Diceros bicornis minor: one gene and its partners. The protein of the gene in region 2 purifies or fractionates together with the protein of the main gene of each other region. This does not show direct contact. Links are inferred from orthologs where the notes say so. Each region holds a gene or a part of one and is shown on either strand. Other genes may lie near its edges. The genes, in order: AKT1, FKBP5, IKBKG and CHUK.

Region 1 (6,939 bases), on a different chromosome or scaffold from region 2:
TGAGGGTGGCATGCTGGCCGGCTCCGGGGCCCCCACCCCAGGCCCAGCCCCGCGGCCACTCACCTCGTTTGTGCAGCCAGCCCTCCTTCACGATGGCCACGTCGTTCATGGTGCCCGGGCTCCGGCTGGCCGGGCGGCCCAGGTCTCACTCCCGCTCCTCTCTCAGCAGGGTCTCCCCGAGCCCAGCCCGTGCCTCTGGAAGAAGCAAAGGAAGTGTGTGAGGCTGTGTCCGGCTGGAGGCCGCTCCTCTGGCCCTGCAGGCAGCCCAGGAGGCCCATCGTACCCGGGGTCTCAGCCTGGGTCTCCCTTCCCCCTTGGCCTGCCCACCTCTTAGCCTTCAGAGCACAGCCGTCCCATCGCCTTCTTCCCGCCATGGCACTTGACATGAAGTTCCCGTTACTCAAACTGCTCCCTGGGCCAGGGCCTCTCCTCGACCTGGGCATCAAGGCCCCTGCCATCACCCCTCCTGGACCCCCAGGCCCTCAGAGCTCACTGCCCCCCCCCACCTCCCCCATTCCCACCTCCCCTGGACTTTATACACTCCCATCCCCAAGAGGCCCTCCCAGCAGATCCCAGCCTCCCTAACCTGCCAGCACAGCAGCAGCCGCCTCCTCCAGGCAGCCCCTCTGACTGCTTCGGCCCACGCCCCTCAGCATCCCCAAGTCCCTGGAGAGGGTGCCCCTGTTTTCTCTGTCTGTGGTACTCCCACCCACGGGCTGGGGTTCCTGGGGCAGGGCCCTGGCTCCTCCTCCCTGCCCCAGACTGGGAAAGGAGAGAAATTCAAACACAAAGAAGGCAGGGCCAGCAGCGCAGGCAGCTGGCGCAGATGAGAGCCAGAGCCCTCCAGGGGGACACGAAACCCCTCCCCTAAGAAACCCCAGGCCCCTCCTAAACCACAGCGCCCCTGCCGGTCTGAATCTGGTTCATTCATCGGCCAACACGTACCGGGCATCTCTGGTTTTGCCAGGCTCAGGGCTGGGCGCGGGGGACAAAGAGAGGCTCAGACGGGTCCTGTCTGTAAGGAGCACCCAGTCCAGGGTGGTTACAGACCCATAATTACAGCATTCACGAGGCCAAAAATGGGGGGTGGCACTGCAGCAGCGCAGTGGTACTGGCACCCACCCTGCAGTGGCCCACCAGCCAGCCCTCACCTGAGCAGACACTTTGGCCATTGATCCTGCACAGCCCTCCCCATTGCTCCCCTGCTGTACGAACTCCTAGGCATCCCTCAAAACCCAGTTCCCACATTACCCATTCTGGGCATCCTGGGAAAAAGCCTTCTTCCCATGAGCAGTCCTCTGCTACCCCTCCAGACGGGCACTCCTAAGGGCAGGCCCAAAGAGACTCCTCTCTGGGACATCCAGGCCAGGCAGAGACCCCTGAGGACCTCTAGAATGGATCCCAACCTGGGTCTTTCTACAGCCGCCTAGACACCCTCCTGAAGCCCTCCTTACTGGCCTCCTGAGGCAGGGGCTGGGCACCCAGAGGGCCGCTTTGCACTCTTAGGCTGACTTTAGAAGGGCAGAAGACCCCACTGCCTTGCGTCTGGTGCCAGGACAGGGAAGACACACTTGGCCCAAAGAAGAAAGTGGCTGACATGCTCAGCACGCCCAGGGGCAGCGATGGGCAGCAAGTGAGCCCCGAAGATACCGCAGAGGAGAGGGCTCTGAGCCCCGGGGACAGGGGGCTCTGGTGATACTTGAGTGGGCGTGGCCTGGGGGCAGGGGGCTGGACTCAAAGACCTCTGGACATCCCCCCACCCCCACCCCGGTCTGAGCAGGGCCTGCTGCTGACCGAGTCAGACAGCTGTTGAGAGCCCCGTGTGTAAAAATATATCTGTGCACACACATAGGGTGGTGTACGTCTGCACAGAAATGTACACACCAGCCCAGTGCCTGGGCCACCTCTGGGCACAGGGCCGGCGGGATGGAGGGGACCTCTGTTTCCCGCTACTTCTGTACTGTGAGTGCCTTTACCATCAACATGTACGACTGCTATTATTATTTAAGCCACAACTTGTGAAAAAAACAATCTGTGCTGTGAAAGGGTCCCCCCCCCCCAAAAACACTGACTTGTGAACTGTATGGTCAGCTCGGGGGCAGGGAATCAAGCCCCCATCAAAACAACCCGCCCTTCACTTGGATGAAGGGCTCAAGAACAGCAAGGAGGGGCCTGGAGCAAGGCGGGGCGGCAGGAGGGAATGTAGGGGGCCCTCTGGCCACAGAGCACAGCCCACGCCCCCCACTCTGTCCACCATGGCAGTAATTGGGAACAGTCCGGCCCGCCGGCAAACCTGCCCTGGACCCCCCACTCCGGGGGGCAGGCCCCGCCGCCCTCCGGGCCCCAGCTCCGGGATGGCTAGGCAGCACCTCCACGGCCCTCCCAGGTCAGGAAGCAGTTTGGGGGCCCAGGAGGGTGAGCAGTCCTTTGTGGGCTGGCCTGGGCACCTCGCCACCATGTACAACTTTCTGGCCATGGGAAAATGAGGTCTCCTTCCCAGGGCCCACCCACAAACTTCAAGGAGGGCTGGGGCGAGCCTTTTCCTAAGGACCCTGGGCGCCTACTGGGCGCCGCGGCCGCGCTGGCCAGGCGCCCGGGGAGCCCCGGGCAGCAGGGGCGCCCCAGCTCGCGGCCCCCGGCGCCGGGCCGCGCCCCTCCGCCCCAGCCCAGGCCTCGCCCGGCGGAGCCGCTTCCCCAAGGTCATGAGGGAGCCGGGGCCGGCGGCCCGCACCCCCGGCGCCGGCCCGGCCCGCGCCCTCCCCGCCCAGGCCGCGCTCGGCCACTTCCTGCTCCCGCTCCTCATTCCGGCTGCGCGCGGCCCGCGCCCCGGCCCCGCCGGCCGGGAACAAAGCGGCCGGGCGCGGGGAGGAAATCCGGGCCCCGGCGGCGGCGGCGGCGGGCGGGGACTCACCGGGCGCCGCGTCCGGGCGCGAGCGCGGGCCTAGCCGGGCCGCGGCCTCCGGCGCCCGCCGCTCCGCATCCCCGCGGGCCGGGCCGGGCCGGGCGGGCGGGGCCGGGCTGGAGGCGGCGGCGGCGGGCTGCTCGGCGGGCCTCGCGCGCCTCGGGGCCGGTGCTGCGCGCGGCCGCCGGCTCGCGTCCTCCGGCTGCGCTGGCTGCGCTGGCTGCGCTGGGCCGGCCGCCCGCCCGCCCGCCGCGCTCGGTGCCGCCGCCGCCGGCCCGCCCTCTCCCCGCCCCGCGCCCGCCCCGCCCGGCCGCCCGCCCACATCCGCCTCCGCCGCCCCGGGCGCCCCCACCGCGGGCCGGGGCGAGGGCGCGGCGCCGGGAGCGCGCGGCGGGCGGCTCTCGGGGCCGGGGCCGGGGCCGGGCCCGCTAACGGAGCCGGGCCACTGCCCGCCGCTGGGGCCGGGCCCAGACCACGTCCCCTCTGGCCTCAGTTGCCCGGTTTGTCCAGGGAGCCTGCGCTTCTCGGCCCAGTTCTGCCACGACCCTATTAAAAGGGCCGATCTGGGCCGAATCCTGGGCTTCTGCTTCCACTGGGGGGATAGGAGGGGGCAGGTTAGTTTGACTTTCAGAAGGTGCTCCAAGTGGGTAGCCACATGCTGGTGGGGGGGAGGGAGCAGCCAAGATTCTCCTAAAAGACCAACCCAAGGGCCCTGCCAGGTGAGCGCAGAGTGCTGGTCCCTGAGGGCATGCCAGAGGCTGGGGGGCGAAGTCAGGTCTGAGGTGGGCCTGGAAGGCTGGCTGGACCGTGGACAGGAGAGGGCAGGCTACGGGACTCGGTCGTCCATCTCTGTGCTGAAGGCCTGCCATGGGCCTGGCCCTGGGCTGGGCCCTCAATCCCTCCGGGGAGTCTTCCAGGAGCTCCCCTCCCCAGAAAGATGTGACATATGGCCCTATAAAAGTGGATGGGGACTTCACGTGGTGACAGTGAGGGCTGCAGGGACCAGTGGAGGGGCATGCATGTGGCACCCGGCTTCATGCAGCACACCTGGCCTGAGGTGCCCACCGGGGCTGGGCACAGACACACAGCAGGGGGAGCTGAGGGGGAGCAGACTCAGGAGAAGGGCTGTGCCAGCTGAGGCCGCCAGGACCCTCCCTGCTGTGCAAATGGGCCCTGGGCACCCACAGTCCACTGGCAGGCATCTAAGGGCCAGGGAGGCAGAGAGACTTCACCCCCTCCTCCTACAGATCCCCAGGATCTGCAGACAACTTCCCACCCGTGACCCCTCCCTGGGCCCTGGCCCTTGGCTAGAGCCACTAGTTTCTCCAACAGCTGCCCCTCCCCCCAACCCTGAGGCCTCCCAGTTGATAGTTATCCTTTTGTGAAAGGAAGACTCCTGTAAGTTACCTTCCTGAGGTTGGTATGTGTTGGGGGGGGCATTTTTGTTCTTCATCCAGGGTCAGAGTTCAACCTGAGGGGGCGTGGACACTTCATCTGGGTCAGAGGCAGGTGCAGCCCAGCTGAGTGTCCAGGACGGCATCTACAGCCAACACTGGGGCTCCATCCTTGCCTCTTGGGGCTGACCTGAAGAAGGACGCTCCTCAGAGAAGGACACTCTCTCCTGCTCAGGGGACACTGGCTCCTTGAGGAGGGGACTCCCAGTTCCCGGCCTCTCCCCTTGGCACTGCTGCCCCCCACCCTCCCACTGCAGCGCAGCTGTCCCAGCTCTGACTGTGTACCTCCAGGCAGGGCCGTGCCTCCAGGGGGCCCAGTGAGAGGCCCCGACCGTGCCGCTGGGGCCAGATGCCTGACCTGAGGGTCAGCCCCTGATGTCCAATGTCTGTCCATCGCTCACCCTGCACACCTTCCCCCTGGGGCCCCCTGGGACCATCCCACCTACCCACTGCTCTCCCAGGAAGGGTTTCCGTGCCCACCCCCCATCCTGAACTGACAGTGCTATGGAGGAGGTGGAGGACCAGAGGAGAACCCGGCAGGGTGGCAGCCAGTGGCCACTGAGGGGCCGGGAGGGCGCCGTCTTGTGGAACATGTGGCAGCTCCCCAGGTGCTCTGGGGCCTGCTGGCCATTTGAGGAACCGCATCTTGGCTGGGAGGCTGCATCGCAGTGGTCCCAAACCTCCAGGCCCGTCTCCAGGAGGTCTCCCTGCCTGTTCTGCACGGCGCTCTGGGCCAGCCCCCACTGTGCGTGACCTGCTGTGTGCCCCACACCCCATTCCATGCAGTGCCCAGTCCTGTCTGCACCTTGGCATGCCCCTGCCCTGTGACTGGGGTATCCCTGAAGGCAGGGCTAGCCCCCTCCGCCTCTGGCCTCCGGCAGGGAAAGCAGAGCCCCTCTCCTCAAGAACACCCCCTTCCCAACCCCCAGACAGAATGGCAAGGAGAGGACCAAGCTTGCCAGCCCATGCTGGCCGCTGCTGGGGCCGCTGAGATGCCCCTTGGCCAGATGTTTCCAACAAAAATTGCTACACTGCCCCTGAGGAGGGTGGCCGCCTGCCCCTCCCAGAGCACAAGAGCCTCCGGGCCTGTCACCTTCTGCAGCTGCCAGCCTTCTAGCAGGACTGGTGGGCCGGTGCCCGGGCTGCCTAGTCTCAGCAGCAGCTGCAGGGCGGGGCCTGGGGGCAGCTCCCAGGCCAGATGGCCGCCTGGCCAGCTGCGTCTGGGAAGCCTCTGCCCGCACCACTGCGACAACCTCCTGTCATCCCTGTGACTGGGACTGCACAGGGCCGGAGAGAGGATCCAAGGGCCAAGGGGCGGCCGGCTCCTGAGTACCATCTCCGGGCTGCCTGAGACAGCCCCTCCTCAGGGTGGGGGGTATCAGGACAGGGGGACCTACTCAGACCTTCCGACCTGAGAGACTCAGGGGCCTCTCTCCCACTCTCCCCTCCCCGAGTGACGTCCCTCCTCTAGCCCATCCCTACCTGGGCCGGCCTCCCAGGCCCAACCCCAGGCTCTTACAGGCAGCGTCCTAATTTGCTTCAGCCTCTGTCTGGCCCCCAAGGAGCACTTCGTCCCACCAGCCAGGCAGGGCAGGCCAGGGCACTCTGCCCACCCCGGGGGCCTCCTCCCGGCCTGCGGCCTGTGTGGGGAGCTGTCCGTCCAGAGCCCCAGCAAGGCCAGCCTCCCCTCCCTGCCTCCGCATGCTCAAGGCCGGGCCTGGGGAGGCCACACTGGGCATTGTGGCACCACAGAGCAGTCAGAATTCAGATGGCAGCACCTAGGGAACATCCCTCACGGAAGCCACCGCCATGCATTCACTCAAGAGACCTTTCCTGAACCCCACTTTGTGCCCCGACAGCTTCTTAGCCCCGAGAATACATCGGGGGAGCCGAGAGAGAGCACAGTCACACGGCACGGGGAGTGCTCTGGAGAAGGACGAGGAGAGGAGAACGTGGGCTTGGGGGGACCTCGGTGGGGTGGTCAGGAAAGACCACTCTTGGGGTGCTGCTGGAACAGAGACAGGAATGGAGGAGCCAGGGAAGGCCTTCAGAGGAGGAGCCTGAGGTCCTGCTGTGAGCCAGGCCCTGCCCTGAATCTGCCTTTCTGCAGATGAGGATATTAAGGTTCGAAGAGGCTAAGGGTCACGCCTGAGGTCGGGAGGGGGCAGGGGCAGGACTCTACACAGGCGAGAAGCCACAGGCAGTTCCATCTGGGTTCCCTCTGACTGGACTGGAAGTCAGCTCCTCCTGCTGTGGGCTGGGTGAGGGGGTGGAGGGAGGGGGTTGACCCTCCTCAGAAGGGTCCCCGAGGTGAAGGGCAATGGAGCCAGGGCCGTCTCAGTGGCTCAGTGCAGCGTGAGTCCAGAGTTCCACATTGAAGTTGCCGGATTTAGGAAATAAAAATACAGGACACAGTCAAATTTGAACTTCAGATAAACAAGGCATAATTTTTTAGTGTAAGAATGTGGCTTTCCTTCCCACACAGACTGTGGTGGGCCCCAGGCCCTCTGGCCGCTCCTCAGGCCCCCAACCCACCAGGCTTGAACAGGATTCCTGGGTGGCGACCCCCCATCTCACAGCCAG
Region 2 (7,129 bases):
CATTAGAAATGTACATATTTAATTGTTCAGCATTAAATAATTACAAAATTAAGTGTGCCAAAATATGTACAACATAGATTCTTCTTTAGGAATTGTGAAAAATTATAGTAAAGGCTTATAGAGGATATTCTTAATGCCAGGTATAACATGCATATTACTGTTATAAAGTATTATTAATGTCTAACAGTGTCATTTGATTTATTCTCAAATTTGGCTGTTTTAACATAGGTCCTTGTTTTTTGTGGCTTTATTCATTCAAAAATATTTGCCCATCCTCAAACTCAAAAGGAGCCACGCCTGAGAGTAACTGACTTAAAAACGCTCCCATTGTTTATTGTGTAGAAGAATTCAACTTATGCTTAATTTTGAAACTGAAATGTGGTTGATAATTTTATGATATGGTCTACCACAAATTAAAGTGGACAAAAAATTAGTAATTAAAATATCTAAAAATTGAATTTGAAAACGGGCTTTTAATTAAAAGGCACTTTTATAGTTAAAGCTCCTAAAACATGCTTTTGTGCAAATAAAACTATGAAATATAACTTTAATTTATGATATGTAGTATATTTAAGCATTATCATAGGATAAAGATTATAAAACGTCTAATTACACACAGTAGCTAAACTAATATATTCCTATACACTTTAAAGTGCAATTATATAAATCATCCAAAACAATGAGAGCCCCACTCTTATAAGATTGCTTACAACTATTTATATAGAATAAACCCATTCTACATGAGGACGAGTCACTGTTCAACCAATCTACCCTCACTAAGCATCAAAAAGCCAATACAGCTTTTTAATAGCAATAACCTCTTCTACAGCTATAGAAAGAGGATGTTCTTTCTTCTCTAGACTAATTTGTTCTAAACTAAGAAACATTTTAGGAAACTAGCCTATAATATGCATTCTTTTCCAATCCAAGAATAAACTGAAAATTGAAGATTTAACTAGCTGCCGAATCCAATATTTTAAGTTTTTCATGTTGAACTGGTTAAAATTATGTTTTAAAAAATAAATTAACCCAAAATTCCCATAACTGAAAAAAAGATTCAGAAACATACTTGTTTTGTTAAAAGTTAGAAAGACAAAGAACTCATAACATACAGGCCTGTTGTTTTAGAGAAATAAAACATTTTATAAAGACCATCTCTATTTTTTTTAAATCTCAAATAGTCACAACTAGCCTATTGGTTAAAGAGTTCACCTTTAAATAGTGTTACTAATTAGCTAGGTAAATAAGTAAAATTACCATTCAATGAAATATTAATAAAGTAGCATTTAGATCAAAATTACAACTTTGTTCTTAAGAAGTTAAACTTAACATCTCAAGTATAAATCATACCCAATACAGATATCCAACGAGACACATAATAGGAAAAAAAACGAGTAAGCTAAATCAAGTGTTTCTCACAAATGATGACTCTTATTAACCCTCATTTAAAAAATATTTTTAAAAAACATATTGATAAACTGGTCAGGGCCTAAAGTGGTCAAGGCCATAATTGTAGATTGTTAAGCGGAGGTCAGTTGGGAGACAGAAAATAAGTGAAAGTATGACAAATAAAAATTTCCCCCAAGAATAAGAAGTTCTTCAAGGCTATCCTTGAATTTTGATTGGAACACCAAGAGAAAAAGCCACTATAATTCTCTAAAGTAAGAACTCTTGGTGGGGGAGCTCGGCAGAACTCCCACAGACTACAAAAATACTTAACCAAAATATGCCTTCACTTTTCCCTCGTCCACAATCTAACAAAATGAGAAGACAATGAAAATAAACACTCCTGTCTACCCTCCCAGAGGCAAAGAAAGCTCCCATTCAATGCTAAGCCTTATTCCACTGGAAAACATACTCCTGAAAAGTAAATCCAAAACCACGAGCTCAAACTGCTTCATGCAGAATTTACTGAATGGCGGCCAAACGCTGTACACTCTGTCCTGAACCACACTGAGGATATCTAGACTTCTGCATTCTCCATTTACAACTTGTACCTTCCCAGGCTTTCGCCACCACTGCAGAACCCGAGTTTTTAAACGAGACTACAAGATTCCCCCTGGCTCGTGCATCGAAAGAAGGCAACCCACACGCTGACCCCCCAAATGGTTTTTCATCGATACTGGGTTTGACGCCTCTACAGTCGCCAGAACACCTTTTTAGACTCAATGAGGCGTCAGAACGCCCCAGGAGGGAAATGGACAAGGAGCCCTGAAACAACTTTTCACTGGCTTTCACCTGGCTCTAGAGTATCACCTGTCAGAAGAGCGCTGCCCCGGCACCCTCCAAGAGCGGCCGAGAGCGGGATGCTGTTCCCACTCACTCGTCCCAGGGCGGCAGGTGAAGGCGGGCCGCGCGCATCCACCCCCGCCGCCCGGGGAGCGCAAAGCGAAAGCCGAGGCGCCGGCCGCGGGACCCTTCGAGATCCTCACCCTGCACAGGCCCCGCCAGGTGAGCGCGGCTCCATCGCGCCCCGCTCGCTGCGCCCGCCGCCCGGGCCCCGGAAGGCGAAGTTGCTCTCCCGCCCGCGCCGGCTGCTGCTCACGCGCCGCCCAGCTCTCCGCGGGTCCCGCCGCCGGCTCCCGCCTCGGGCGAGTCGGGCCGGGACCTGTCACCCCGGGCGGGAAACAAAAGCCGGGTGAGGACGGGCGGGCGGGCCCGGCCTCGCCTCCCCGAGGGGAACGCGGCGGGGCGGGAGCGGCTCCCGGAGGAGCCCCGGCCCCGCGCCTGCCCCGCGTTGGGGCTGGGGGCCTCCGGCGCGCCGGCCTCGAGGCTCCGCCGGCCGCGCGCGCCGCTCCCGGGCCGGGGAGCCGCGTGAGGGAGCGGGGAGGCGGCCGGACCGCGACGGAGGGAATTCGGCTCCCGGGGCGCCGCGGTCGCCCGCCCCATCCCTGCGGCCATGGCGCCGGTACCTGCCGCCGCGCTCGCCCGTCGTCTCCGTCTCTCTCCGCCTCACTCGCACGCCGCTCGCCCCTCAGCCCGCCCAGCAGGCCGCCCGCGCGCCGGACGCCGCCGCCCGAGACTGGCAGCGCCCAAGAGCCGGCCCGAATCCCCCGGGCAGCGCCCGGCGCCGGCCCGCCCCCGCCGGCCGCAGGACCCGCCTTCCATAGGGCCCCGGGGCTGTCAGTCCGCCCCCAAAAGGCGCGCGGGCTGCCGCTCTGCCTGTCCGGATTGGTGGCCGCGCGCCGTCCATGCAAATGAGGTCCCGCCCCCGTCCATTTGCACCTCCGCCTTAGTGTAACCTCCGCCTCTCCGCACCAGCCCACGTGTCTGGCCGTCGCCCTTTGTGGAGGCCGGAGTGGAGGGGTGGAGGAAAGCGACCGGCACCCCCTCACACCGGCCCTTACCTCTAGAGAAACGAACACCTAAACAAGCTAGTTGACTTCACATCTGAATCGTCTCTCTGAAAGCTCTGACCTCCTATCGGTCCAGCCGCCTGCCAGGAGGATGGAGAGGGGCAGGCTTGGCTGTTTGTGTCAGGTAAACAGGCCAGGTTAACCCCAGGAAACAACCCCAGGAAGTCAAAGATGCCCAGTCGAAACTGGGGAAAATCCCATCTCAGAACCGATTTAGCACAGAGCACTTCTCTCTGGACACTGGGAGCCTGGGAAGAATATGCTTTCCCGTGGCTTTTTACCTTTCAAACATGAGATTCCAGGCGATTGGGACGGCAGAGGACCTTGAAAAATGTGTGTTCTCTGCCCCCGTCCCCTAAAAGGTCGCCTGCTGAGCAAACTCAGCTTCAAGAGGGGCACAGGCCTCTCCAACCAGATGGCCACCTTTGAATCGCTCCCATAGAGATTCAGATAAGGGGACTGAACTAGCTGCACCTGGGCCTTAGGGAATACCTAGCTCAATCCCCTCGTTTTTGAGGAAACAGAAGCCTGTAGTCCGTTAGCTATGGGACTTAATAGTTACCTATGGAAACCTAATGTCTCATAGCCAGATGACAAGCCGCATTTCCTAGCTCCAAATCTACTCTCTGCACTATATTACGGTGAAGAGTCTCTTCTACAAATCAACAGTCCTGCCTTCAAGAGGTAGGGTCTGCAGAAGAGACAACTAGAGCCAACACTGAAACCTCCTCAAGGGCAAGAGCCCTGTCTCAGGGCCTAGAAGCTTTCCTTTTTACCAGCTGCCAGGGAGAGTCGCTCAAACCACTTATGTATGCGTTAATTCAGAAAGATGACTAAAACGCCTCTGCATACCAACACCAATTGATTAAGCATCTACTATGCTTAATAACAGCAAGTATTAAGCATTGTGCTATGTGAAGAGAATACAGAGGTGAGCAGAAATTATCCCAGCCCTTGACGCCTGAGAGACAGTGACATCCACATTACATGTCAGTGCTCCTCATGTTACAAGGACTGTGACAGATGTCTGCAGAGGGCATAGTGGAGGGCTCCACAGAGGGAGGAATCGGCTCTTCCTGAGAGAGGCAGGGAAGGCTTTATTGAAGCGGTGACACTAGAGCTAAGTCTTACAAGATGGACTCTTAAAAGATGGTGTTTGCCAGACAGAGGGATGTGGAAGAGGGAGGAAAGGGGCTCCTGGGCAGGGAGGGATAAGCATGAGCAAAAAGCATGCAGACCTGGAAAAGCCTAGTAACTGAGGGAACAGTGAGGAGCAGTGTGGGCAAATCTGCAGGGCCATGTGGCCATGTCACATGCTCTGAGACCAGGCTCTCCCAGGAGGAAGACAGAAAGGCCCGGGAGGCTGCCAGGCTGTGTTGTAACACACCGCGGCAAACAACAACAGGCCCTGTAGATACAGCTGCAGGCTTTTTTTTCTAGGCCAGAGTCTGTGGGGAACAGTCAGTTCCACAGTTCCGATGGCAGCCTGGCTGGCCCCACCCACTATCTCAGAAAACCACTCCGGTCACTCACTTGCCCTCCTTGGCATTTGGAAACACGTGTGCTTGCATTTTCCCTAAACATTGCTGCCCTTCAGAACTCAAAGATAACGTGGGCTCTGGCTGCAGACACCTGGGTGTGGGATGAGCAGCCCTTTCCTAATGCACAGAGCAGTTCTTGGCAGGGCCTGTTACCAAAGCTGGCTTCATGGGCATGTGACCTGTGCTTGGTTTAATGCTCTGCTGTCACCATCTTGAAATTCTTAAAAATTTTTCAGTGAGGGGCTCTGAATTTCCACTGTGTGTTGGGACCTGCAAATTAGGTAGCCAGTCCTCCCTGTTGCTGTTAGTTGCCCCTGGGAATGCTTGTGATTCTGCTCAAACCATATCTCATTCTAAAGCAGTTGGCATTCACTAGATTTGTTCACGTTCATCTTGTCATTTGGTTCTCACAGTGGCAATGTGGGGTAGGTCAGTATTACTAGTTCCATTTATTAGCTGAGAAAACTGAGGTTTGGCACCCTTCTCCCGGTGGCCCAGCTAGAAAGTAGCAGAGCTTGTACTTGAACTCAGCCTACCCAAGCCCTATTCCATCCACTATGGAGCTACCTCTGTGTTGGTTTCAGAATCCTTTCACAAGCAGATTTGTACATGAAGGATGTACTGTTTTAATAAGAGTCAGAACACATAGTGGAGGGATATATGTCATTTCATGGCTGCCTATCACCTTTTGAATAGTTTTTCATCAATTTTTAAAAATTCTCAACCATTATATGTTCAAATACTGTTTCTGTACCTTTTCCTCTTTCCTTCTGGGCCATCAATTGAAACACGTATTAGACTTCCTCACTACATCTCTTTCTTCTTTATTTTCTATCTTTTGTCCTTCCATGCTTCATTCTAAAAGTTTAGTCCAACTATTTTTCAGTTCACTAATTCTCTCTTCAGCTTTTTAAAAAATTCTCCTCTTGGGGCTGGCCGGATGGCATAGTGGTTAAGTTTGCACACTACACTTTGGTGGCCTGGGGTTCGTGGGTTAGGGTCCCAGGTGCAGACCTACACACTGCTCACAAGCCATGCTGTGGTGGCATCCCACATACAAAATAGAGGAAGATTGGCACAAACGTTAGCTCAGTGACAATTTTCCTCAAGCAAAATGAGGAAGATTGGCAACAGATGTTAACTCAGAGCCAGTCTTCCTCACTGGAAAAAAAAAATGTTCCTCTTAAACGCATCCATGGAGCTCTTAAATTTGGTTATTCTTTTTTTTTTTTTTTTTTTTAGTTCTAGAATTTCTATTTGGTTCTTTTTCAGACATTCTGTGTCCCTTCCCTTCTTATATCTCTTAGTGCCTTGCTATAATTTTCAAGCTTGGCTTTTCTCTCCATAGTAAGTATAGTTGTTTTACAGTCTGTGTCTGTTAATTCCAATCTGCAGTCCCTGTGGGTCCACTTCCGTTGTCAGTTTTTACTACTGGTTCTTCCTCATGTTGTTGTATCTCCTCAGGTATCTGGCTGTGTTTTGGATGTTGTATTTGAAAGATCATTTGAGGCAACGATGATAATATCTTCCTCTGGAAAGGACTTCCATTTGTTTTAGCAGGCGTCTGGGGACACCAGCAAGCTAGGATCACCTTAACCCAATTTCAGGACTCGGTTTTCTGAGCCTCCCAGATGCCTTGAGGCTGGACTACAGTCTGTGGGAGATTCTGTTTATTTATGGTCCCCCTTTCCTCAATGCTGCAGTTCTTTGAGGTCCCAGGCGAAGATGGGAAGTTGTTTTAGTTGTATATTGCTCCATAGCAAACTATCCCCAAAGTTAGCAGTTTAAAACAGATGTCAGCGGAATTTTTCTTAAAGGGCCAGATGGTAAATGTTTTAGGCTTGCAGGCCATATGGTCTCTGTCACAACTACTCAACTCTGTCATTATAGCACAAAGCAGCCACAGACGATACGTAAATGAATGACATAGCTGTATTCCAATAAAACTTTATTTACAAAAACAGGCAGCCATCCTCAACCTGATAAAACCCCACATCTAGTATCTATGTGGGTTTCATAGAAACCCACATAGTTTTTCATAGAAAAACCCACAACTAGTATCATACTTAATGATAAAAGAATGGATACTTTCCCCAGGAAACAAGACAGGGATGTCCAATCTTGCCACTTCTATTTAATATAGTACTGGAGGTTCTAGCCAGGGCAATTAGGCAAGAAATAGAAATTAAAAGGCATCCAGATTTGAAAGGAAGAAGTAAAACTATTTCTATT
Region 3 (7,630 bases), on a different chromosome or scaffold from region 2:
TTTGGATAAACGGTCTTTGGAGATGTAATTAAATGAGGATCTTGAGATGAGATCATCCTGGAGTAGGGTGGGCCCTAAATGCAATGACAAGTGTCCTCATAAGAGATGGAAGAGGAGATCCAGACACAGAGGAGAAGGCCACGTGAAAACAGAGGCAGATACTGGAGGGATGTGGCCACAAGCCGAGGAACACCTGGGGCCCCCAGAAGCTGGAAGAGGCAGGAAGGGTCCTCCCTTAGAGCCTCCAGAGGGAGCACAGCTCTGCCAACACCTTGATTTCAAACTTCTGGCCTCAAGCACTGGGAAAGGAGAAATTTCTATTGTTTTAAGCCCCCAGCTTGTGGTCATCTCTTACAGCAGCCCTAAGAAATTAATAGATCTAGTCAGAGGGGCTTTGAAGAGACCACGCAGAATCTGATCAGTGTTCCCTGGAACTGGGGGGCCGAAGGGGACATCTAGTATCTGACATGTGCTAAGTAATCTGAAAGTGAGAGCTGGCCTCGCAGACTAAGACAGCAGAGCAGAGAGACAGGCTGTTTGCGTTCTCTTCTGAACTAGAATAGAGGCAGCCCACGTGGGACAGCACCAGCCTAGAGCCCTTTTAAATCCTGCCCAAGAAGACTGACTACCTGGAGGAGGTGGACAATCCAAATACAAGTTTCCAGGAGCAGGCCTGAGCTGAGGAAGGAGACTTTGAACACTGAATAAACTTGGACGTTTGACTATGACACTGATCCTCAACACCCCACTAACCCATCAGCAGTATTTAACCAACCACTGACCCCTCCCTCAGCTTACAGAACAGCCCACTCTCCTGGTTTTCCTCCTACTTCACTGGCTGCTCCTGCAGTGGATCCTCCTCATCAACACATCCCTTCACGTTGTGGTGCTCCAGGGCTCTGTTCTGGGATCTCTTCTCTAACTACAGTCACTCCAGGACTAATTCCATCCAGCCTCACAGCTTTAACCCCCATTCTAATGCTCTTGATGCCCTAAAATTAGACCTGTTTCCTGGACTCCAGACTCACGTATCAGACTCAACATCTCCACCTGGGCATCTAGTAGTCCTCTTAAAACTAACCTTTTCAACACTGCACTCCTGCGAGTCCCCCAAAGCCAGGACCACCCACAGCCTACCTTACTGTCAGCTGGTGGCCAATCCATCCTCCAGTTATCAGGACAAAAACCTCGGAGTCCTTCTTGACTCCTCCCTCCCTCCCTCCGTCCATCCCCCTCTCCCTCTCTCCCTCTCTCCCTCTCTCCCTCTCTCTCTCAGCTCACATCTAATCCATCAGGAAATCCTGTCAAAATGTATCCCAGGGGCCAGCCCCATGGCTTAGCGGTTAAGTGCGTGCACTCCGCTGCTGGGCTGCTGGCAGCCCAGGTTCAGATCCCGGCGGCGCACCAACGCACCGCTTCTCCGGCCATGCTGAGGCCGAGTCCCACATGCAGCAACTAGAAGGATATGCAGCTATGACATGCAACTATCTACTGGGGATTTGGGGGGAAAAATAAAGTTTAAAAAAAATGTTAAAATGTATCCCAGAATCTATTTGATGACACTAAACAATTAATGTTAACTATTTCAGGTGTGAGAGTGGTATTTTAGCTATGATTTTTTAAATATTTTCTTAGAGATGCATACTGAAACACTGTCAGGTGGTGTCTGAAATTCACTTCAAAATAATGGGGGAACTCCTAGGTATCTATGCAAAAGAAATGAAAACACATGTCTACACATGAATGCTCACAGCAGCGTTACTCATAACAGCCAAAGAGTGGAAACAACCCAAATGTCCATCAACTGAGGAATAAACAAAATCTACTACATTCACATGGACAAACATTGCAGAGAGAAACAATTCACAAAAGACCACACAGTGTGTAATTCCATTTATATGAAATGTCCAGAATAGGAAAATTATCTATAGAGACAGAAAGATTAGTGGATGCTTAGAGCTGGGGGAGACAGGGTGATGTGGGTGATAGCCACAGGGTACGGAGTTTCTTTTTAGAGTGATGAAAATGTTCTGGAATTAGTAGTGATGGTTGCACAACTCCGTGAATACACTAAAAACCAGTGAATTGTACACTTTAAATGGGTGAATTGTGTGGTATGTGAATTATATCTCAATAAAATTGTTATTGAAAAGAATAATGGGAGACAATTGTGAGGGATATAAATTAAAATTAGCCATGAGTTGGTAACTGTTGAAGCCCGGAGGTGGTTCCACGGGATTTACCATACTAGTCTTTCTACTTTTGTGCATCTTTGTAAATTTTCATAATAAAATGCTCAAAGCACCATCAACTCTCACCTGGATTACTGCAATAACCTCTTAACAGATCACCCTGCTCCTATCCTTGCCTACTACAGTCTGTTCTCCCCACCGAGGCCAGAACAATAAGCCTAAAAAGTAATTACGATCACGTCCCTCCTCTACTCAGATCCATACCATGGTTCCTCATTGTCCTCCATGTAAAAGCCAGTCTCTTTGACGGCCTACAAGGCCCTGCACCATCTGGTCCCCCACTGCTTCCTCTCCAAGTATTCTCCCCTTGCTCACTCTGCTCCAGCTTTTCCTCCAATGTGCCACGACGGCCCATTCATCCTCAAATCACAGAAATGGTATGAGATTCGGTAGACATTAATCGTTTTGCAAAGTGAGCAAACTGAGGCACATGAGGTAAGATACTTAGCTGCCAAACTATATTTGAGGTCTTTCTAAAGAACTTAACAACCTCAAATACAGTCAAGTTTGATGAACAGAAAATATCTTCGAACTAGAAGAGTCACCCACGAAATAGGGGTGTGATCAGACTCCACAGCGGCGGTGGAGGGAGAGGCAGGAACAGTCCTGCTCACCGCCAAAGAAACCTGATCCTGCATCGCCCCGCCTTGGCCGGTGCTCTAGATGCGGGTGGCAGAAATGGGCGGGGGCCCAAAAGGAGAGAAAAGCCTGGACGTCCGGGAGAGTCTCAGAGGCGGTGGAACGCCCAGTGATGGTACCCTGCCTTCGGGGAAGAGGACCACACCTGTCAGCAGAATCGGTCCGACGTGAGATGGACAGAAGCGACAGGCCACGAGCGCTCCTCGGGCCCCGTCCCTCCGAGAAAGTCCCAGTTCCGCGGTCGCCTTTCCCTCCTCCCGCTGCCGAAATCCCCACTTCCTGCTTCCGGTGTCGTACTGTGGGATCCGGAAGTAAAACAGGGAAGCCCCGCCCCCGCCCAGGAGGCCCGCGAGAAGTACTAGGGAGGCTGCTCCAGAGGGAAGCCCGAGCCCACCAGTCTCGGTCGGCCTGCAGGAGGCTCCCCAGTGATATCCACCACCTGCTACTTTTCGGGGCGTCACGACCCACACTGCCCCTTGTCCCTCGGTCTACAGCATCCAGCCTCCGCGTGCTCGGCTGCCTCGGCCCCGCAAGGGGAGGAGCCACGACGAGGCTGCCCAACAGGGCCGGTCTGACCGAGCGGGCGACCGTCCGGTGAGAGGGCGGGGCTCAGATGGCCCCGCCTATAGCCTGGGTCAAGGAGGCGTGGCCACGCTGCCAGCGGAAGTGGAGCCTTCCGCGAGGGTGTAGGGCCGCCTGGGGCCTGCGAGAAAGCCGGCCTGTAGGGGCGGGGCTGAGCCGAGCCGGTGATGGGGACTCGGGCGAACGGCGCGGAGCTGCACGCGGAACCGCGACGCATCCGGGACGCGGCTCAGCGGCGGCGGGTACAGCAGGCGGCCCGCGGCCGGGCGGCCGGTGCAGGTGCCCAAGAGGCGGGGCGAGCCAAGGGCGGGGGGGCCTCGCGCGGGGGCCAGCCTGGGATGCGCGCGCACTTGCCTGCTCCCTCACCGGGCCCCGCCCCTGGAGGGAGGGGCCTGTGGGGGCACCGCCCGCGCGCCTCGCCTGAGGCGGGTCGGCTGAGACCAGGCGCCCGCCCCCGCTGATTAAGTGGGCCGGCGGGGCACAGCCCCCGGAAACGGCTGAAACTCCGGGGCTGCGAGTGCGACGGGCGGCGGCGGTAAGGTGCAGGTAAGGGAGTGGGCGGGCGCCGCGCCGGCGGAGGGAGGGATGTGCGGCACCTTAGGCCCTTTGATTTGCCATGCTTGGGAGCGGGGGCAAAACCGAGACGGCCTTAACCGATCCCACTGCCCCCCCTGCATCCCTGCCGTTGGAACCCTGAGGAGACTGAGATCTCGAGAGGACTTGCCAGGGTCTCAGCCTGGCAGAAAGAGAGCTGGAGCTGCACTCCATCATCTGCACGGTCTAACATGCTCCAGCTCATTGTGGAGTTTCTGCCTGAGTCCGGGGTGCGATGGACCTAGGCAGGTCATGCGATGTCCAGCAGGGTTTTGCTTGGTCCCTCAGAATTGAGGCTCTAGCTGGAATCCACTAGGGCTTTGGGCAATTTTGTATTGTACACCGTGAAAGAAGGCTGCTTGGGGAGTATGGCTGAAGCCCAGAGCCAGCAGTTTCTTACTTCCCAACCATCCTGCTCCCTGGCCATTCACAGCGAGTGGTTTCAATAATCAGGCGTCAGCTGGGTGAGAGCCCAAACGACTCCTCGAGAAAGGGGCTATCTTCTCAATGCTCTGATGTTCTTGTGCCTTGTCAATGAGCCTTTCTTCCACCAGAGAGCATCATGGCAGAACAGGTGGCCCTGAGCCGGACCCAGGTGTGCGGGATCCTGCGGGAAGAGCTGTACCAAGGTGATGCCTTCCATCAGTCCGATACACATATCTTCATCATCATGGGTGCATCGGTGAGTCTCCCCGAGGACCATCATCTTAAAACCCACACTTAGAGCATGACATTGCTTAAGGTCCCTTCCTGCTCAATGCCTGGGCTTTCCCAACTGACTGTTGTTGGGCCACGTGGGCTCTGCTTGGTTGGGCTCTCCGTCTTGCTCCTGCCTGTGTGCCACTATCATCCCAGCACCATACGGTATATACACGTTAGGAGGCATTTCCGAAGTCCACGCACAGCCATTGACTATATACATTAATAGGACAGCCATTGACTGTCCTGGAGCCCGGAAGTCCTTCTCCACGGAGAACACTGAAATGCAAACAGGGAGCCTAGTCATTCTGTGAGTGTTTTTCTCAAACCTGTTTGTGACTTGACAGATGTCACACAGTGAGTTAGTTCCAGAGGCAGGTTCTGAGGCCCGATCTCCACCTTGTCTTTCTCTACCACATCAAGTTCCCTGGGGACAAACACTCGACCTTTCTTTGAGCATTGTCTCTTTGCCCCATTTTGCTCTGATAGAGTAGAAGCACAGTGACGGTTTGTGATGGCAAGTGGGCACAGGAGAGGGAGAGTGGGTCCTAGTCAAGCCATGACCCTCAGACTAAAGCACTTCCCGGCGTACCGTGTGGAAACGAGATTTGCCAGGTGGCCAGACATGTGCAGGGGCTGCTGAGATGAGCTGCCAGGGTTTCATCTTGAAGAAAAGTGGTTTCTTCTCACTTTTAACCCTGGACATGACCAAGAACCTGCTAACCATTGTATAATCACCTCTGCCAGTAACTTACTGTGTAATCTTGAGCAAGAGTTCCACCAAAGTTAGAGAGTTCTTGACAGGGCAGGTCTTATCTCTCTGTGCCTACCACAGCACAGTCCCTTCAGCTCTGGAGGAACTTGGTTCTTTGTTCATATATCATAACCTGCCACCACCCTTTGCAGAGTCTACTCCCTGGAAACTTTGGGATTCTGATCCAGACTTGGAAAAGGAGAGCCAGAATGCAGAGCAGGAGGCAGTACAGGGTAGAAGGACTCTGCCAGTAGGAGGGAAGGGAGGGCTGCCCCAAGCAGTGTCTTCTGATGCCCTGTACCCAGGAGGAGCAGACAGGGGACACGCTTGGCCTCTACCCTGGCCTCAGCCGCATCCCCTTGGAGGAGCCATACCTCTGTTGGCCACAGACCTTAACACCTAGGACTCTGACCATTAGGTCCTTTGTCCAAGAAATAGGTTGGTAGAGAAAGTAACTCAGGATTATTTTTCCTCCTTCCCTCGTCTCCATGCCAGCCTATCACAGGATGCTCCTACAGAGCATGCCAGGCCGCAAGAAATGGCGTGTGACTCCAGGCCCTCAACTCTTAAGTGCCCCATTGAGAGCATCCAAGCTTGCTGTGTGACCTAGGGCAAGTGTCTTCCCTTCTCTGAACCTCAGTGTTTCCATAGCAAACCAGGGCTTTTGAAACAAGTGCCGAAGGTCCTCGGGCTCTACCAAGCTGATTCTGTGAGTCCTCACTGCCTTTGCCTGTGGCCAGCTTGGGGTTGGGCAACTTTGTTTCTTTGCAATGAGTAGGGTTTCCCTTTGCTCTCCTTTGCTCTGGAGTGACAACCGGAGGCTTCCAGAGCAGAAATGGGAAGTGCTGCTCCAGCAGGGTCGAGTGGGGGAGAGCAAGGGTTCTCTGAAGAAGAGCCTCCTTGTTTGTTTTTCCCTTCTACTCCAGGGGGCTGGAGAGGGTGGGCCGCCCACGCTCAGGCAGCACCTAGAACAGCTCCCACAGTCTGGCCTCCACTGCCTCACTGTCTCCTTCGTCTGGGTAGGAGGTGGGCAGAGTAGTGCTGGGGGCGCACTCTACCAGAACCTGCTGCTATGGGAGACCAGTGAGGTCTCTCTTCCTCCATCCAACAAATGCTGACCAAGTGCCTCCCCTGCAGCACAGCGAGCATGGGCCCTGCCCTCTTCTTGGGGCCTCTGTGGTGGGGGCCAGGACCTAAGGTGAGTTAGCCTAAGAAGAGTTCAGAGTGGAGCATGTGACAGAAGACGCAGACAGGATCCTGTGTCCCCAGCCCCCCAGCACACAGGTCTCATGAAGAGGGCCTGCAGAGAGGCCTGCAGAGCCAAGGCCGGCGGGGAGCACACCACACAAAGGGAAGAGCAGACACAGAGCCCCAAGTGGGGCAGGCTGGGCCCACGTGGCCATTCTCTGCCCCTTCCTCCTCCTCTTCCACTTACCCAACCCTCAGCGGCACGCCCAGCTTCCTTCCTCAGGGCCTCCTGATGCTGGCTCACAGAGTTACCCAATGGGCTTTGAGCTGCTCTCTGTTCCCCCTGCTATGTGGCCACTTCCGCCCTCCTTAGGACTCCCACCCCCAGCCAGGAAGGGAGTGGAGGTACTTACTATCCTAGTCCAGAAAGCCTTGGAATGAAGGAAACCGGTTTCTCCTTACAGACCAGCATGGGGGGAGGAACCTTGGGCCTGGCAGATCATGTCCTCCCCCATCTGATAGGACTCGACCAGCGGGCTCAGCGATTCTCCCCACCTCAGGGAGTGGAGAGAGGAATAGGAGTGAGAGAAAGAGAGACCAGGACTGGGAGTCCACTGGGCAGGATTGACTCCCTGCAGGGTCCGCAGTGAGCCCCTCGCCTCTCTGGGCTTCAGTCTCCCCACTTGGGCCACAAGGGCTATGGGCTCGATGGGTGCTCAGGCCCTCCCTCTCCTCCGGACGTTTCTGGGCTGCCTTCCCCCTTGGGCTGATAAGATTCTTGCTGTGTCATGATGACATTGGCACTCCCCCAAAGGCCTGGTGATTCGTAAGCCCCAGGGTGTAGGAGGGAGGCCCTTTTCTTGGTTTTACACCCGAGCCTACCTCAGCAGACCCTAGGTTCTCTCGGTCCAGTGGCCGGGAG
Region 4 (7,623 bases), on a different chromosome or scaffold from region 2:
CAGTTTGGATTTCACCTACTCTGTGAAGGCCTTCCTTACTCTACCTTTTCAAAAAGAATGTTCCATGGAAAGTTTATACATGTCTGGCCAAAAAAAAAAGAGTTCTATGTTTAAAAAAATGATAATATTCTGGAGATGGACAGTGGTGATGGTCGCACAACAATGTGAATGTACCCAACACCACAGAACTGTACCCTTAAAAATGGTTAAAACGGTAAATGTTAAGTTACGTGTATTTTACCACAATTTTAAAAATTGGAAAATACTAAGTTAATTTCTTTACTACAGGACTTCTCAGGGCTTTTAATATGCTACATGGGTTATGAATCTCCAAATGAAGAAATATTATATGCAGCATTTACCCAATGTATTTGACCATAGTATCCTTTTATCAAAGCATTTCATGGGATTTGTTTTTCCAAACACACTTTGAGAAGTGCTACCCTGTTCCCTAGGAAGACTTCTTTGGTTATTTTGCCATTCTTCCATGTCACTTTACAAATAACTTGGTTATACAGGTTATCACACTGTACTTAAAGTGCTTCTGTGTCTCCCTCACCCACTACACTTGAAATCGCCTTAAGGCCAGAAAATACTGTTTTTGTTGATTTGGGCACTATCAGCACCCAGCACAGTAATCAGCTAAATAAACCAGCTCACGTCCTTTTCTCTTCCTCATTGTGCTTTAAGAAGCGTAAATGAAACACTGGGACGTGGCTTCCATCAAAACACAAAGAGCTTGAAAGCTGTAAATGCAAACCCTAAGTCAGGCTTGGAAAAGGAATGATGCTGTTCCCAAGCCTTATAACAGAGTATTTCTTCTCTTCTCACTACAGGCTCAGTTGTCAAATGTCCCAGTTTGGAGGAAGGGCCACTCGACAACTGGAAAGTTCCTGAGAGATTTCTAAGATTCTAGAGGAACCCAAATCTCTTCCATTTAAAAAATGATGAATTCCACAGAGACAGAAAGTAGAACAGTGGTTGCCAGAGGCTGGGGGAGGAGGAAATGAAAAGTTATTGTTTAATGGGTACAGACCGTCAGTTTGGGAAGATGAAAAAGTTCTGGAAATGGATGGTGGTGATGGTTGCAAAACAATGTGAATGTACTTAAATGCCACAGACTATACACTTAAAAATGGTTAAAATGGTAAATTTTATGATATATATACTTTACCACATTTAACAAAAAAGTGATGTATTCATCCATCTCCAGCCAGAGGCCAAGAAAAGCAGTCACAAAAGCATGCCAGCATGCATACTTTTTTTCTTATGACCAGGCTGATGGGCAGGCTTAGATAACAAGACCACAGGCAACATTCCGCTACAACTACTTGGCTCCCTCTCTTTTCTCTTTGAGTGCCTTACATCCTCTCTGATGGTGAGAATTATTAAATTTACTACTTGTCTGCCTGTCAAAGTACTTAATGCCTTAGTCCTTCACCTTCCATTCCCCCTCTCTCCAAAATTTCCTCCTATGCTCTATCTAGAAACCTGTTTCACAAAATTTCTTCAGTGATATTCGTCTTTGTAACTGCCAAACATACCTATTCCTCCCAGGTAGACTGCCATATCCCCTACCTCCCACCCTATATTATGGTCTCTCTACCCACACCCATATTCCTTAAGTCAGCAAATGATGTTTTTCCCTCTTGAATTCATTTCTCCATTCACAGGCCAATTGCAAACACTTTAGTAATATCTTAAACTGCTCATTTTGTCCCATATGTTTTTCCATTTGGATTTATCTTTTACAAAAAATCTTCCTAGAACACTACTTTTATCTTGTTTCCTTTTTTAAGCCCAATTAATGATGAAGAAGATGATAACAGCAACAATACAGCAGTAGCAGGAGCTAACATTTGAGGGCTTACCATGGGCAAGCTACTGTTCTTAGCTTTACATACATTATTATGTTATTTAATTCCCGAACAGACCCAAGATGTATATTAATCACATTAATATAACCATTTTACAGATGACAAAACAAAGACTATACTGCAGGGATTATTAGTCCAAGGTCTATACATCTAAAAGGTCTGTGAAAGTCCTTCAAGAGAGCATGAACCCCCTCAAATGACAATGCATAAGGTTGTGAGGATGTGCATCTGTGCATTTTTATGGGGAAAGGGTTCACAGCTTTTATTGGTATATCAAAAGACACAGAGCTCAAATATGATTATTAACTGCTGCTTTAACAATGGTTAAATGTTCTCAATTAAATCAAAGCAAAATTCCGGAGTCTGATGTTAGGTGTCTTCACTGATTAGAGCACCTCACCCCGATCTATCTTCTTTCCTTGTGAAATCATTATCATTGTCACCAGCTGATCCTCATGCTGTTCCCTACCTGGAACGCATCGCCAACTCCAAAGCCCACCCAGTGCTTCCAAAAGCTTAGCTGTGGACTCACCGTAAAACCTTCCTTGTCTACCCCAGCCCCTACTGATAATACGACCTCCAAGCACACACACACATTGCAACAGGCAGCCCCCCCTCTTCACCCATTCGTGCTCACACATACACACTCTGATGTGCATCTGCCTCACACTCCCTGACACTCTCCATATTCAGAGAGTGACATACGTAATGTCACACTCAGTAAACACTTCGTCACACCTTGACACTCATACCAAGAGCTCCCCCTAACAGCTCTATCTCAAACACACTGACCCAGACCTCAGATACAACCTCGGACTCAGTCACCAGGCTCACAAGCACAATCCGTCTGTCTGTCTCTCTCTCTCTCACACACACACACAGTGGCCCACAATACTGCCCAAGATCTCCCCGACAATCTCTCACATACTGACAATCACTGTGTTCCACAGACGCTCTGACAAACACCCACGGCCGCTCCCTCGCGCGCCCCGCCTCACCCGATGCTGGTATAGGCAGACGTTCCCGAAGCCACCGGTGCCCAGCCGCTCCCGCATCTCCCAGGGCCCGCCCGCGCCCGGCCGCAGCCCCGGGGGCCGCTCCATGGGGCGGGAGGGCAAGCGGCCTCAAGCTTCGCCACCGTTCCCAGGCCGGTTCCGGGCCGCCACAGCTCCCGCGTCTGTCTTCTCGCGAGATGTATGCGTCACTTCCGGTAACTGCTGGAGGAAAAGCCCGCCCCAAGTTCTCCAGGGGCGCCGCAGGAGCCCTGCAGGTGAGAGAATCGTGTGAGGAGAGTGGCGTTTTCTGCCCGCTCTCTAAGTCCCCTGTGCATTTTCCTGGCTGAGAGAACCAGCCCTGTTCCCTCATGTGTTTTTCTGGTCTTCAAGAATATAAGATCTCTCCAGACCCTACATTCCCTTCAAATCACTTTCCAAACCAGTCTCTCCAGTATTCGTCTTTTCTAGACTTTACATCGTCCCCACCCCTACCTACACTTCACCTTTCAGACTTCTGCCGTCTATCCTCCAACCTCATCACCCGCTGAGCTGGCACTGGCAAAGGCCACCAATGATTTAAATATTGAGGAATGCGAAGAACTAGAAAGAATCCTGCGCTAACAGGCCCACTGATGCATTAGCTTTCATAGTTCACTTTTTTTTCCCTTAATGATTAATCATCTTGCATAGACGAGTCAGGCTCAGCTCTTCTTTTGCTTGACTTCCTATACACCTGTTCCAGGATCTCACCTGTATGTAACCAAATGACTCAAGGATGTGACGCTGTTCCAGAGTAAAGAATGTTCCTCCTGACTTCGGGAGTTTCTCCCTAAATTCCTCACGGAGCTTGCGGTCAAATAGTCCTCCAGTTATGGGGTTTGCCGGTGCGGTAGTTATTCATTGTGGGGATTGTTTCTGATGCGTGATACAGGGCTACAGAGGCAAGCTTGGGAAATACTGTTGCTGCAACAAGAAGTGCTTCTGAGTGCCAGATTGCCCTAGCCTAGAGAAACCAGCTCCCGCTTTTCTGCTTTTCGCTTTGAGTGTCAGACGCTACATGGAACTTGGGGATTTCATCAATCGCTCCAGGTGTAACAATCAGCTAGAATCAAAATCTCTGATGAAATGTGTCAGCTGCCATAAGCACAGTCATTTGAGCCTCCTTTGAGATCATGTGCACTTGGACTATCATTTGCACAGCCTGGCCTGTTAACTCAGTACTTAGAATTCCAACCAACGTTTTGTGACACATGGTTGTGCCATGACAGATGTAACATGCTCAGATGTCTGAAGGTGGATATGGCACGTACACCACAGCACGCCATCAAAGCTAACTGCTTTGAAAGCACTGAATCAGCCTTTGGCAAAGCAAATGTGTCTGCTGTCACCAGAATCCCTGAACAGTTCAACCAGAATGTAGAGCACTGCATCATACAAACCAAGTCATGTTGTAGGTTGTCAGTAATGTGTGCTCAGTATCAGAGATTCTGATTTCACATAGGTGCTTGGTAGCCATGGAGTTGGAGTATCAGACTTTGAGGTGATGGCAAATAGTCTAAGAACATGTCCCTTAAAGCTGGGCATACTGCACAGATTGTGGTGCAGATTGTCCTAATAGTATGAAGCCCTCTTGTTTGTTAGATGTACAGCATAGCTAGCAATGGAGCATGTCTGATCTCCACAGGTGGGGCTGAAATCTAATTCTCACTTGGAAGAGCTAGGGAAGGATGCTGAGGACTTGAGGATACTGATGATTGGGCTGATGCTGAAGTAGCTGTCCTTGCAGGAAGTGGGTTGTTTCCCCTAGTTCACTCTTTAGACATCCCCATACTCAAGGTCACTGTGTAGCTTTTTTTTTTAAAAATCCAGGGCCAGTTGACCTCAGGCTCAACGATCTTCAAGTTTGCCATTCTTGGTTTTTTCATGTGTAAAATGGAGGTAATACCTACCTCATAAACGTTTTGTGAGGATTAAGTGAAAAAGTGTCTGTGTCATAAGTGCCCATTATATAGCAGCAAATCTCTTTCTTTTGGCTTCTAAGATACGGCATTCTCCTGTGAGCTTTCTCTCCAGTCCTTCATGTACTTGATGGATCATTCTATTTCCAAGCACTGCTTAAATACTGATATTTCTCAGGTAGTCATCTTCAGCTTAGGACTGTATTCACCCTTGTTTTCATCCATTCTCATAATCTCACCTATGGCCTATACCCTGATGATCCCTAAAGCCCTATCACCAACCCAGATCTCCATGTGTTTAGAACTATCTAACAGCACACGAAAACTCAACATATCCAGAGCAGAACTCATCTTTTCTTAAATCTGCCCCTTCTCTTCTCAATTAAACTGCAAACTCTGGGACAACAGGGACCATGTTGGAACATGGCTATACTCCTAGAGCCTAGAAAAATGCCTGGCATATAGGAGAGTTAAGTATTTGCTGAAGGACTGAATGAGCTCTTTTATATAAATAAGATGAATGCTATAAGAGAAAAACGGCAAAGGCCTTGGGGTGCTCCAGCTGCACCTTGCTCAAGGAGAAGCCACCTGTGAGATCCTGGGATAACAGCTGGGCCTAAGGCCCCGCCCCTCCTTTTACACACACATACTATTTCATTTCAATGGTTACAGGTAACATGAACACAAGATACTTTCCCCACCCAGGGAAAAGCATTTGGATTTTATTTGATAGTTTAAATGTTTTTGAAAATGTTGATAAACACAAGCTGTACTTGGAGCTGGATGACAGACATAGGATTATCATCCTAGAATGTGATTTTTTCCAAAAAAATATTCAATCTGAGGCTTCTTGCTGCAGGCAGCTTCCATGGGAATGCACAAAAAAGAGGCAGGGAAACAGTCCCCATGGGAGACTGCAGTTTCTTAAAAAAACAGACTGCTACTGTTTCCTGTCAAGTTCATAAAGTGTTTTGCCCTTTGCTTAGTCATCCAGAGTGAAGTCAAAGGGCTCAAAGTCTTTCCGGAAGCAGCGAGCCAGGGTCTCCTCCTCTTCCTTGCTGATCTGACACTGCCTCCAGTCAGACTTGTCAGGAATATTAAGGATGGCTTCACTGGCCAAGACCTCCCTGCAGAAAGAACACAAAGAAGTCAAAATGGACAGTATCAGCCCAAAATCCCCTCCCACCCATTCCTCTCCTGCCATCACCCCAAGAAGGTATGCAAATTCCTCTGACTTTGCTCATACCATTCTCTTGCCCTGAGTGCCATCTCTGCCAAAATCATACCCATTTGACCAGCTCAGGTCCTATCTCTTTCCTAACCCCTCAAACCCAATTTTCTCGCTCTCTCTTGAACAACTCAGAACTTATTGGTACTCAGGGAAGTAACACGGCATAGTAGAGGCCAGAGGGCAGACCCTGGTGTCAGAAAGATCAGAGACCGAATTCCATCCCTAGCTCTGCCACGTGCTGTCTATGACTTGAACAGATTACTCCACCTCCAAATCTTGATTTCCTTACCTATGAAATGCAAAATAAGGTTTTGTGAGGTATACAGATAACACAATCAAAGCACCAAACTAGCTGTGATTACATCCTGCCTTAAAATGGAGCTTTGTCACCAACTAGACCATGGGTTTGCTGAGGTCATGGTACACAGTCAGGCGCCACTCTGACTTAAAATTCTTCTACCTCTCCTTCTAGGAGACTCAGGCCTACATAGGCATAACAACACAAGCTCAGTGTCAACAAAACAACTTATCTTGGCTCTCAGAACTAAAGAATAACTACATACAGACACAGAGACAGACACATACATGCAAGCTACCTTCTAATTGCCACTGCTTTATATTTTTATTTATTTGTACTTATTTTGATATATTAAAAATAACTCTATCTGCACATCTACATGGTTCATTTTCCACTTTGAAGCTACAATAAATGGAAAAGTTGAAAACAAAACACACGAGTCTTCTAAAAGTCACAGCACCTGAGCTCAAGTTCTAGCTCACTGGGCAAAACTTGAGCCTACTTCTTCATCCATAAAATGAAGATAGAACCCCCTTTCTTGTACAGTGGGGAAAAAATGTCTTTTCAAGTATTTCAAAAAATACTTTTTAAGTATTTTGTTAACTATAAAATACTGTATAACTATAAATTAGTATTTTAAAAAATACTCAATGTTGAGCACAAAATCATTCAGAGAATCTCTCTTTTGTGGGCTTATGTGCCAGTGTGTATCTGCGATCATGTGCCTACGTCATCACTGTCCACATCTGCACCTATTGCTGAGGCAACAACAAAAAGATAATGTCAGATTTTTGAAGCTCCTAATACACTTGTTCTCATTTATCAATTATCTTTTTGAAAATGTAGACAACTGGACTTATCCAATGGTGGCAATCTCTTGGGAGGCTTTCCAAATTAGTTGAAGAAGGGTTCAAGGTTGCTTCAAAGCTCAGTTCTAACTGGGGAAAAAAACAGCTGCAAATCACAGACACAGCATCATATAATCTGTTCTGCCCATTTTTAACTCTCCTCCACACTATTATCTCTTTTTGCTAGTAACTTCCTGTCTTCAGTCTTTGCCTAATTTATACCACTCTCTGTATGGTTTCGTAGTCATGTTCTGCCTGATATGAAGAGCAGAAATGAAGCCTTATCCAGACCTTTAGGATACTGCAGAATAACGAGGTTAAGACTTCACGTTTTGGGATCCAACAGGCCTGGGTTTGAACCTACTACTTTGTGACCATGGACAAACTACCTAACCCCTCTAGAGCCATGCTGTCCA

What was found.
Region 1: the proteins of FKBP5 (region 2) and AKT1 purify together in Homo sapiens (affinity purification with western blotting; 3 studies listed by BioGRID, with this or other methods). This does not show direct contact. The link is inferred for Diceros bicornis minor from reciprocal best matches to the Homo sapiens genes FKBP5 and AKT1.
Region 3: the proteins of FKBP5 (region 2) and IKBKG purify together in Homo sapiens (affinity purification with mass spectrometry; 3 studies listed by BioGRID and IntAct, with this or other methods). This does not show direct contact. The link is inferred for Diceros bicornis minor from reciprocal best matches to the Homo sapiens genes FKBP5 and IKBKG.
Region 4: the proteins of FKBP5 (region 2) and CHUK purify together in Homo sapiens (co-immunoprecipitation; 4 studies listed by BioGRID and IntAct, with this or other methods). This does not show direct contact. The link is inferred for Diceros bicornis minor from reciprocal best matches to the Homo sapiens genes FKBP5 and CHUK.

Annotation. Positions count from the first base shown.
Region 1 is NC_080763.1:49,324,956-49,331,894, forward strand, and holds the start of AKT1 (RAC-alpha serine/threonine-protein kinase), read right to left. Parts: upstream 3,003-6,939; 5' UTR 2,912-3,002; intron 196-2,911; 5' UTR 110-195; coding exon 64-109; intron 1-63. UniProt on the Homo sapiens protein: AKT1 is one of 3 closely related serine/threonine-protein kinases (AKT1, AKT2 and AKT3) called the AKT kinase, and which regulate many processes including metabolism, proliferation, cell survival, growth and angiogenesis.
Region 2 is NC_080753.1:29,091,536-29,098,664, reverse strand, and holds the start of FKBP5 (peptidyl-prolyl cis-trans isomerase FKBP5), read right to left. Parts: upstream 3,013-7,129; 5' UTR 2,913-3,012; intron 2,582-2,912; exon of another isoform or gene 2,433-2,581; intron 1-2,432. UniProt on the Homo sapiens protein: Immunophilin protein with PPIase and co-chaperone activities. Component of unligated steroid receptors heterocomplexes through interaction with heat-shock protein 90 (HSP90).
Region 3 is NC_080781.1:138,464,912-138,472,541, reverse strand, and holds the start of IKBKG (NF-kappa-B essential modulator), read right to left. Parts: upstream 3,012-7,630; 5' UTR 2,460-3,011; coding exon 2,457-2,459; intron 1-2,456. Other genes in the region: G6PD (glucose-6-phosphate 1-dehydrogenase), read left to right, coding at 3,641-3,752, 4,622-4,749. UniProt on the Homo sapiens protein: Regulatory subunit of the IKK core complex which phosphorylates inhibitors of NF-kappa-B thus leading to the dissociation of the inhibitor/NF-kappa-B complex and ultimately the degradation of the inhibitor.
Region 4 is NC_080745.1:65,541,870-65,549,492, forward strand, and holds the start of CHUK (inhibitor of nuclear factor kappa-B kinase subunit alpha), read right to left. Parts: upstream 3,020-7,623; 5' UTR 2,981-3,019; coding exon 2,876-2,980; intron 1-2,875. Other genes in the region: CWF19L1 (CWF19-like protein 1), read right to left, coding at 5,813-5,957.